Linked DNA regions of Mus musculus. The protein of the gene in region 2 interacts with the protein of the main gene of each other region in a biochemical or structural test. Links are inferred from orthologs where the notes say so. Each region holds a gene or a part of one and is shown on either strand. Other genes may lie near its edges.

Region 1 (5,256 bases), about 120 Mb from region 2:
CTGTACCAGCTTCACAGCTCATCATCTCCTAGCAACAACCCGACCCTCCCTGACTGAAGCCCTTCTGCTGAGCTTTCTCTGCAAGTCTCAAACTCTGGCTCCATCTGATAATCCATTTCTCTGCTTTTATTCTTTGGTATCTAATACTCCGTAAAACCACCAAAACCAGGGGTAGAGTTGGCTCAGTGGTTAAGAGCACTTGTTGTTCTCGCAAAGGACTCAGGTTTGATGCCTAGCATCCATATGGAGGCTCCCTGTCTCCTCAGGTACCAGGCACGTATGTGCTACACAGACATACATGCAGGGAAAATACCCATACACACAGATAAAATATCCAACAAAACAAAACACAGCAACAAAATCAAAATGCACCAACCGATTAAAGAACAATAGAACCCTACTTTACCATGAGAACTGAGAGCGATAAACAGACAGTACAGACGGGGCCTTGGTGGTTTGAATATGCTTGGCCCAGGGAGTGGTACTATGAAAAGGTGTGGCCTTGTTGGAGGAAGTGTGTCACCCACTGGCCATTTCTTGGCCCTTCTTTATATCCCTCCTCATTCCCCCATCCCGGGATACAAGGGGAAATTCCAACACTTCTCTAGGTATTATTCCCACATTCTGATAGCCACACAACCCTGCAAGTCCCTCCTCTTTCAGCCATCATTCTCTTCTCTGATTGTCCGTGAGCTTCTCCAGGAAATACACTGGTCTTTCCTATTTTCTCTTCCCATGGTTTGAACACAGCAGCATATAGTGCAGTAATTGTGCCCCATGGTTTTCTTCTGGATGAAGACACACATAAGCTGGTATATTCCCTCTCATGTCATCAGTGGACCTGGTACTGTGGATCTAAAATAGAACTCTCACTGCTGCCTCCAGATGACCCTCTTCCAGGGTTATTCTTGTAACCATCGCTCTCTGTCTCTCATCTATCCATCCTCATGCCTCAAGAGCCATTACATGACACAGACACATTACAAGACACAGGCAAGTTTTGAATTTTACCTTGCCGCCGTCTCTAGTCAGCCACTGACATTCCCCATCTGTTCAGTTGCCACAGTCTCCAAGTTGTTTCTTCAGTCTCCCTTCCACATTTTAGAAGGCTTTTCCCGAACATAACTCAGATTATCTCGTTCTCCTGCCAAAATGCCTCCTGGCTTCAGCACACTTGGGACCCAACAGAAATTGTCTACCAGGATGCTGCACACCTGCCACACTCTGACATTTTCAAGCCCTTCCTCAAAACACAAACTCAACCCCTGCTCTTACTCTCTCCCTATGTACCCCAGCAGCCATGTGTACTGCGAAGCTCCTCTCGCTCAGCTTCTTCATGCTCACTGCTCCCTCTAGCTGAAAGGCTGTTCTTCAAGGCCCTTGCCTTGCTTATGCCTTCTCCGCACATTAATCTCTGCTTGAATGTCACTTCCTAAGAGACTCATCCTATGAAACAGCTCCTCTCTAGTCATCCAATGACTTTCTTCTCTACTTTATTTTCCTCAGAGAACTTATAGACACAAACTCATGCTAATAGCTTTTGAAATTAAATTTCTGTTTCTCTTAAAGGTTATACGGTGATAGAAATGTTCTTCTTTCCTGCCTGCTATTTCATCTACACTGTGCAAGAGAGTCACAATATCAAGTGTTTGGTAGCGTGTGATCCCTGTTTCTAAAGGCATGCCTCTTCTGATTGGTAAAAGGTCCTGGATATGTAGTGGTAACACTTTGCTGTGTGAAGAGCAGCCCGCCCGCCCTCCCTCTCTCCCTCCCTCCCTCCCTCCCTCCCTCCCTCCCTCCCTCCCTCCCTTCCTTCCGTCTTTCTTCAGTGGCACTGGGTATAAAGTCCAGGGCCATGGTGCACGTTGGGCAAGCTGTGTACCACTGAGCTACCTTCTCGGCTGATTACTTTCTTAAATGGGAATTTGCATCAAATTCTAAGCTCTGTTAGCTACTGCTTGGCAACCTCTCCAAGACCAAAATTCCCTTTAGATTCCTCCTCTGAGACTAAGACAAGTCCTTAGCCTAAGATCCAAGAACCTTCCTGGAAGGTGGGGTACAAGAGAATTAATGATAGAGGTGGGGAGAAAGAAAAATTACAAAATATGTTCTTTGTCATATGTAGAACTTAGATTTAAGTCTATTTATCAAGTATCTATCATCTATCTTCTATCTATCTATCTATCTATCTATCTATCTATCTATCTATCTACCATCTATTACCTATCTGTAACTATCATCTATCTATCAAACTACAATCTATCTATCTATCTATCTATCTATCTATCTATCTATCTATCTATCATCTGTCTGTCTGTTTGCCTGTTTACCTAATGACATGGAAACAGAGGGGTCTATTTGGGAGGGGGTGAGACAGGATAGCAAGAAATAGGAAGGGTAGTAGGGAGTAATTATGAGCAAAGTTCATGCATGGAATAAGATGGAATAAGAAACCCATTATTTTGTATACCAACCCCACCCCAAAAGAGAGCAAAATAATAAAGTAGAATAGAATACCTCGGGGTCACTTTAGCCAACATCTGTACTCCCCTCCCTGCCTCTGTCACCTAGGGTTTCTCTTAGTAGTTTTTACCCAGGGGTTCTCATACACTCATCTTGGTTATCAGTCACATGGCCATCTTTATCTTCCCTGTCTGTATTTACAGACGGTTTTGCTCATCGATTAGAATCCTCTTGACCCTAGAGAAACAGTCCTGGAGTCCTCCTTGTCAGTCCTCATGAGAGTCAGGTATAATTCTATTTAATCCCAAAGACCAAATATTCATCTACTAGACTAGCATCCATTCACCTACTGGACTTGAATCCATTCACCTACTGGACTTGTATCCATTCACCTACATGAAGGCAGGTGAATGGATTAAATATATATATATACACACATATACATACACATATACATATATACACACATAGCTGATGTGTCTTTCTGTCCCATAGCTGATATGACTGTCTTCTGACTCTATCACTGACTGAAGGAAGGCTCAGATTTTACCTGCAACATCAAACTCGATTTCTAGTGTGACTTTGCTCGTGATGGAAGAGTCTCTCAGGAGTTGATTGGCTTCCTCGAAGGTGCTGTCTTCTGTTGGGATTCCATTAATGGCCATGACTCTGTCTCCAATCTGTAGCACACCACATCTAGTTCAGAACCACATGTGAGAGGCAGGAGTTAGAGAAGATGATCGTGGGGTTGGACTGGCCACCCTGCCTCATTTCATCTTTGCAAAATAGCACAACCATTTGACCTTGTTGAGCTGATGCTATTGGCAAGCATGTTAGGTCAACTGCAATGCCCTGCACTCTTGAATCCCAGTTACAATTGTGGGCAAGGGGGTTCTGAAGTATCCCAGAGAATTAATTAAAAATTTATAACTAAATAGTATGATAATCTGACCAGAATGAGCAGATAGTAAAGATGAATGTACATTCCTGCAATGCAGAGATATAACTTCAGTTGAACTTATGCCATTTTTTTGAATAGATTTGTCTCCTTTCTAATTAATACAGCCTCTAGTTTTCCAATGGACAAAATCGGCTAAATAAAACCACCCGGGCTCATAATTTTCCCGAAACCTGATCAAGAACATAAAATTTTATCATCAGAATGGAGAGTTCATTACATTTTGCCTTGCCTTCACTGAGCCCTGTTCCATAATTTATTAGTTATTCTCAAAGAGCTGGTGTCACAAACACAGGGCAGAAAAGCTTCCGGGAAGGGGGCTCACCTCTCTGCTGGGCTGTCAGCTTCAATATAGGAAATCAGAGGCGGAGAGGAGAGCGTCTCTGTGGCAAACACGCTGCCCTGCAGTTGGATTCCGAAGCCCGTGACAGGGTCAGCCGTCAGCACAACCTCTGTGGTTTCAGTGTGAACGACCTGGCCAGCCAACCCCACAGTGCTGGAGGCTAAAGACACTAGAGGAACAAATGGGAAGAAAGTGATCATAGGTGCAAGCAGGTATGAGCATTTCCAAACTAGAATATGTCTAAACAGAAGCTTTTCTGCCAGGGAGGGAGTTTAAATGCTGGTCTAACAGCAAAAGAGTTGGGTTCCAGCTGAACAGGGTAAATGCATCTCCCAGCTTGTTATGCTGGAGTCAGGACCAGGGATGCCACCCTGTGCACCAGAGACTGGGAAGAGACTGTGAAAAGAGGATAGCCTGGGGGTCAGGGTATCTCATCTAGTCCTGGGCTGTATGAATGAGCACCAACCGAGGAAGACCTTGGTTGGGGCAGGTCTTTCCATCTCTGCATGTCCGTATTCTTTCTGCAAGGCGAACTGGGACGGCGGGTCTGAGTTTCCCCACTTCAACCACTTGTGATTGTGAACAAGGCAACCTTTTCTGTTTGGAGGGAACAATCTTTGTGACCCCAGGAATGCTGCTGCTGCTGTGCTGGTCCCCAGTCTTTCTCCAGTACTGAGTGGGCACAGTGAGTCATTCAAATCTCATACAATCCTCTCGGCCCCAAATTTCTTTTTCTATGTTTTGTTCTGGCTTAGTCTCCAGTCACCTGTTGCCTCCCATTTAACTCACTTCTTGGGTACTCATGGACGCCTCGAGCCAGACATCTCTCTTGCTCTTATTTTCATCCCCAGTGTTGATCTTGTAAGGATTTCCAGATGCTTTTTTTTGCTCTGTCTACAAGGTTTGGCCTCTTGTGTTTGAACACTCTATCTGTCCTCAAGGGCTCTGTGCTTTTGGGTTCCCAAACCAGAGGAGGAATGGTAGAGCATTGCCCATACCCTGGACATCCTTCTGAGGGCATGGCAGGAGTAGGGCCTCTCCCTAACAGATTTGGGCCTAATAAACTCCGTAGAGACAAAGGTTACATCCTGATAAAGCCCTGCCAGAAAACTGGCTTCTCAGAGATCACATGATTTGCAGTTTGCTAATCTAGCTGCTATGCTTGGAAGCCCCGCTCCTGAGCCCCCAGCACTTCCTCCTTGTCCTTTTCCCTCCCTTCTCCCCCTGAATGGAGCTATATAATCTAGCCCTGCTAACCAATAAATGAGCTGACCTCTGAACCAGTCTGTAGGAGCCATTCATACCTGTCATACTCACTACCACCATGCATGTTACCAGAGGCCCAGCTCCCCAGCATCTCTGTACCCTGGGACTGCTGGTGTGCAACGCCATAGGAGTTAAGGGGGACCCACACGCTGAAATGTTACTTTGCCCAAAATGTCTCTTTTAGCTTCCTACTTTAATTGAAAGCTCTTTCTAGCCGTCCTCCAAC
Region 2 (5,761 bases):
GGGGTGGGGGGTGCGGACGTAGCTAACCCGTGTGCTACTCCAGAGCATTCGCTGCCTGCTGGGCCAGGCATGAAATGTAGCTGTAGGGGAATTACTGTGCTGGTGTTTCAGTGTGATATGTTGTAAACACATGGGACACCTATAAATCCCCGGCTGTCAGAAGTCATATGCCAGCAATCTGCTCGAACTCGAATTCGACCAGAAATCAAAACTTGTTGAGACCCATTCATTCAACTCCCATACCAGCATTTATGAGCAACCGCAACTCAATCCAGAACCCAGAAATGGGGAAGAGAGGGAAAGAGATCCACGGGCCGCTCTGCCTAAAAGCTTATCTTCTTCAGTAAACCTTGGGTGTTTCCAGTCCAGAACTCTAGTTGAAAGAACATTGAACCCGACACAATGAAACAATTTTAAAACAAACAAACAAAAAAGACTAATAAATCTCCCCTGGGCTCCACTGGCCTCAAACACCTGCAGCTTTAAATAATAAAGGGGTTCCTTGCTAGCACAGGCCACCTGGACCTTTAGGTTACTTGCCCCATAAATAACTTCTTTGGACTAGTTTCCAATTCTTGTGTAATTAGGGGACAGGGCCGTTTGGATCTGTCTCTCCCACAAGACAGCTACAGGCAGAGAATGTTGTTGTTGTTGTTGTTGTTGTTGCTGTTGTTGTTGTTGTTGTTGTTGTTTGTGTTGTTACTGTTGTTTTAAAGCTGCCAAAGAATCCTTTCTGACTTCCCCGAGGGCTGGGATGGGGAGACCTGCAGCCCGCGGTGACCCCCCTCGTGCGCTCCCTCCCCCGGCCAGGCCTTACACAGCGGCCACCCCGATGTGGCGCGGGTACCTGTAGAAGGCGGGAGGGCCGGTGTCGCGCACGGCGTAGGCGCTGGGCTCGTTCTCCAGGTAGTAGGGCACCTGCTGGCCGTGCGGGTGCAGGAAAGGAGACAGCTGCGGCGGCGGGTGCAGCAGCATCAGCGGGCTAGGCGACACGCTGTTGAGCTGGGGGAAAGCCCCCAGGCTGTTGGCACTGAAGGCGGCCGCCTCCGACCCGGGGCCGTAGGCGATGCCCGACTGGCCGTAGACCGGCGCCGAGGCGGCGGCGGCGGCGGCGGCGGCGGCGTTGAACTCGTAGGCGGCGCCCTCGGGGTAGTTGAACACAGTGGGCTTGCTGTTGTCCACGTATACCTCGCCCAGGGCCCTCTCCATGGGCATCTTGAGCTGCGGGCGGTTGAGGGGCTCCAGCTCGTTCCCTTGGATCTGGTGCAGCAAGGCCATTCCCGAGGCTTTGGTGTGAAGGGTCATGGTCATGGTAAGTGGCAGCCGGCGAGTTACAGACTGGCTCCCCGCGCACGCAGAGGGCTCAGCAGCGCGTGGGCCACCTGGAAAAAAGAGTAGAGCCTGCGATTAGAGAAGGCGCAGCGCAAGTCCCCCTTGGCACGAGTACTGGCCCTGGCCCTGCCTCTGCCCCTGCGGGGCAGAGCTATCCTGCAGAACACAGGTGACCCAACTCCAAGGAGCGCACCCAGACGCTCCCGGGTTCTCCAACTTTACATACTCCTCTCCTCTGCTCTTAGACAAACCTGCTGGAAGCCACTGGCCAGGGGCTGCAGCTTCCAGGCACTACTGGGAACATCACACTGTGCGTGCACCCAAGGAACCGCTAGCTTCCTTGAACTTAACTTTCCAGGTCTTCGCTGCTGGATTTCGCTGCAGGGGGTGAAAGCAGCAAAGGGACCTCCAGGAGCCGCGCCCCTACCACTCCCCCCATCCCAAGGAAGACTAGGTTTGCAACAAATGCAGACTAAGCCACAGGCCATTTTCTTTCTTTCTTTCTTCTTTTCTTTTTTTCTTTCTTTCTTTCTTTTCCTGATGTGTTGCCTGTGTGCCTCTGCCAAGCTCCAATCTGTCTCTGTTTTGTCTTCCTTTCTATTTGATTCAGTCTTCTTGTTGGCTGGAAGTACGCAGTGTATGCATAGAATGACCCTGGAGGGACGGTAACTGTATCTGTAACTGAGATATGGCAAATAGGATGGGGTGTGTGATTGCATATGCAGCCAGCCACCGACAGCTATATTTAGCACCAGTGGACACAGATAGGAGGCATCTAGGGCCAGACGAGTGGAGATGGACTATGTATAGGAAGAGCTGCACTTGGAGTCAAGAGAAAACTGCCAGCCTTCAGCTTCCTCTTCTGACAAAAAAATAAAAATAATAATTTTTTTAAAACGCTCCCCAAGAAAGCACAGCCATGGCAATTTTGCCCAGCCTAGCTTTTCTGTTTTTGTTGGACCCCGGTGCCAAATTTGCTTCCTTTAGAAATTCTCATGTGGATATGATTCAGAAAAACCTTCGGTTAGGCACACTTGGGTGTCCCTACCTTCCACAGGTTATGCAACCAAAAATTGGGAAAACCATGCAAGGACTAAGACATTTTCCCATAAAATATCACCTGAGGTCCTTGACTAAAGCTCTGGCGATCCGGTAACCTTGTCTGTCTAACCAGAAACTTTTGAAAGGCTCTCCTACCTTTCAGCTCTTGAATTCTACAAATGGACCTTCTGGGTTCCCTTGGCATAGGGTACACAGGAATCTAATACTCGAATGACAGAGAAGTTAAAATAAGTTTTTTATTCAGTATTGAATTAAATTCTGATTGAGCTCACACACACCTGTTATTGCAAATTTAGAAAAAAATTGCAGCTTGGATAGTTTGTACTTTCTTAATAAACTGCATATGCCCCAACCTAATATCCCCTAAAATAACCATTAGCATATGACTTGAATTGCTAGCCCATATACCCAGGAGAAGTACCTGACACATGCAAATGTCAAGGTTGCTGTTACTAATAGTAACACTTTAAAAATATTTTCTACTAAGCACACTATTTATCTAATTCTTAGAAAAACAGATAATTTTGGATAAACCACAGCTAAGCTGGCTTAAATCTAAAGACAAAGATGAGTTTTAGCACCCATAAGTATCATTGACAGCAAAGGAAGGGTTAAAAATACATTAGGTGAATCGCAGATATTTCTCTTTATGGCCAGCAACCATGACTTTCTAGAGCAATTTTTTCGTAGATGATTTAGTTCCCATAAATCACACTTTCAATTTTCAAATGCCTTTTAAAAAACACATGCAAAAGCAAGCACTTCAGATGAGACTCTTTAAAAATCTGAGCCTGCCAAATTATATATAAATGGCACAGAGAATCCTACAAGTCCGGAAAGCGGGAAAAAAAAAAAAAAAAGCCGCACAGATTTCCCCCCATAGAAAAACAGCACAGCTTCCTTCTCCAGCTAGGAGACAGACACTAAGCAGAAAGGTAAGTTGCTTTCTCAAATCGCTCAAGCTACAGAGAGAGAAAGAGAGAGAGAAATCAAAAGCCGATCCTACCCTGCTGGTTCAAGAGCGTCTTTCCAGAAATGTTCCATGGGTTTGTAGAAGTCAAGGGCTGAGACAGTAAGACGGAAGGAAGGAATGTGCTCGAATGATCGAGTGGCGCGGTGTGTGATCAAGGCAGAGCGTGTGTGGATGTGTTTGTATGTGGAGTGGCAGGGACTCTCGGGAAGCAGCCAGTAGGCAGGGCACTTGGCAGCCCCTCCCGGCAGACAAGGCAGCTGGGCTCCTGCACGAGCTGGATGAATGGCAGCGGGAGTCCGGGAGCCTTGCTGTCTGCTGAGGGACAGCAGTAGCCCCGCTAGAATCAGCATTCCTAGAAGAAACTCCAGCCCCCTTTGCTCCCTACCTGTAGAGCCAGAAATGTCCCGGTGCTTTCTATGGAGAGGGAAACTGAGATGGCTGTGAACCACAGGCTCACAGATAAACTAGAATGCCAGTCAAAGTGTGCAGAGATCAAGTTTATAAACTATGCCAGGATATCTTCTTCCTAAACGATGTCATTTAACAAGAAAAGCCTTCTGGGATACATATGAGTCAAGCCCTCTAGCCCTACTGTTCCCCTGAATAAGATGCTCAGTGACAATGCTACCAATAACATACAAAAGTCAGACTTCGCAATAAATATTTTTGGCATTCCAGGGATATGTTTCCAACTGAAATGCAAGACTCCCTCACTTCATTAGTCAAACCTACCAGCCTCTCTACCAATAGCCTACTGACTACTGTCTGTAAACACATCCCAGAAGAGGCATTATTTTAATCGTAAAGTTGGAACCATAAAATAGCTTTGCGTTAAAGCGATTACACGTTCACAGCTGTAGTTACCAGCATTGGTTGCAGACAGAGATCTTGTACCTCCAGTGCTGTCCCATGGATACACCTGGTTCTCAGTGCTTCTCTCCACCACAGTACAACACAGATTAACAAGGTACTCTGACTGTGTCCTCACCCTGGGTCCCAGGACACAGGAGGCCTAAAGGAGCCTTTGTTGTTTAGTAACTACTTTAGGTATTAAGTGACTCTAATCACAACGCCAGGAGTGGCCGGTCTCCAGCCCTAGGACCCTAGGCAGTTACCAAGAGATATATGAGTGGCACTTGGGCCAGTACAAAGAAAGAAATAGAAAGAAAATACTAATGATATCATGCTGCAACTATACGTTTTTGTGCTTGGAAAGACTCAAGGTCATTATATCGGGACTTAGACAAGTTCCCTCAACAATCAGCAATGACCATAAATATCTAATATATAAATAAGTATCGAGAAGTTGCGGTGTGAGTAATGAAGCATTTGCCTAGCATATGGGGAGTCATGGGTTTGAGATCTAGCACTGTATAGATGAACAAACAAATAAATAAATATTGGGGGAAAAAAGATTGCTAACCCTTTGTTGGTAATAGTGTTGACTCCTGATGACAGGGGCCCCTCCTGTAGGTCAACAATGATGTCACACTCATCAAGCCAGTCCAACTAAACTGTGTAACAAAAGAAGGAGAGATGGTAGAAAAGAAAGAAAATGAGTCAAGGAAAGTTGGTGTGTGTGTATATGTGTGTGAGAGAGAGAGAGAGAGAGATCTGGACATCTGGAGATCTGCATAGGAAGGGTATGAGAAGGCAGGTATCATCTCAGGGGACTTTGGCCGTGGAGAAGTTTACAATTCCAGTTAGCCTGAGCTATCTCAAGATAGGCATTTCCAGGAATAGCTTTCAGACTCCTCTTAGTAAACTCTGTCTCCCAGGGACAGGGGTTGTGGCGGAAAGCATGGCCGCCATCTTGGTTCCCCCACTCACCACCCGGCACCGCTACTCTGGCCACCTGTTTTCTCTTGGAGTCTCATCCCTCTCCTCTTCTCTCTGAGTCCTAGGCTGAGCACACTGTACTGCTTGCCCAGGTGTAGGGGAGAACATGGGCTGCCTTGTTTTCCTGCCCAGTGCAGACTCTGGACCAAACACCCAACATCATTCTCCTCCCGACCCAACACTTCACTCCGGACACAGGACACAGCATCGCTGTCTCTGTCTGACACTCGTATGCCTTCTATAGTTATCCAAGAAACAACTCCCAAACCCATAGTTTGCACGCTCCCTTCCCATGCATTGCCCATCCCTTTTCAGCGGCCTCTTACCTCACTTGTCTAAGTGCAGGCTCCCCTTCATCATTACCCCAAATCCCAGCTTCTCTAAGAGTAGAGTCCCTTCCTCTCTCCTGGACCTGTCTTTGCTAGTCTGTCACCCCCAACACGTAGCCTATGCCTCAGCCTGATGAATAAAAATTTGTTGTTCCAAAGGCCCCAAAGCTTTTCTTCTCTTAATTTTTTTTTTTTTTTCTGCTTAGAATATTCACTTTTCTAGCTT

The links.
Region 1: the proteins of Esr1 (region 2) and Grip1 form a complex in vitro, tested with the Homo sapiens proteins (2 studies listed by BioGRID and IntAct). The link is inferred for Mus musculus from reciprocal best matches to the Homo sapiens genes ESR1 and GRIP1.

The regions. Positions count from the first base shown.
Region 1 is NC_000076.6:119,998,429-120,003,684, reverse strand, and holds part of Grip1 (glutamate receptor-interacting protein 1), read right to left. Parts: intron 3,934-5,256; coding exon 3,747-3,933; intron 3,160-3,746; coding exon 3,014-3,159; intron 1-3,013. UniProt on the Homo sapiens protein: May play a role as a localized scaffold for the assembly of a multiprotein signaling complex and as mediator of the trafficking of its binding partners at specific subcellular location in neurons.
Region 2 is NC_000076.6:4,707,934-4,713,694, reverse strand, and holds the start of Esr1 (estrogen receptor), read right to left. Parts: upstream 3,538-5,761; 5' UTR 3,401-3,537; intron 1,730-3,400; exon of another isoform or gene 1,584-1,729; intron 1,383-1,583; 5' UTR 1,312-1,382; coding exon 848-1,311; intron 1-847.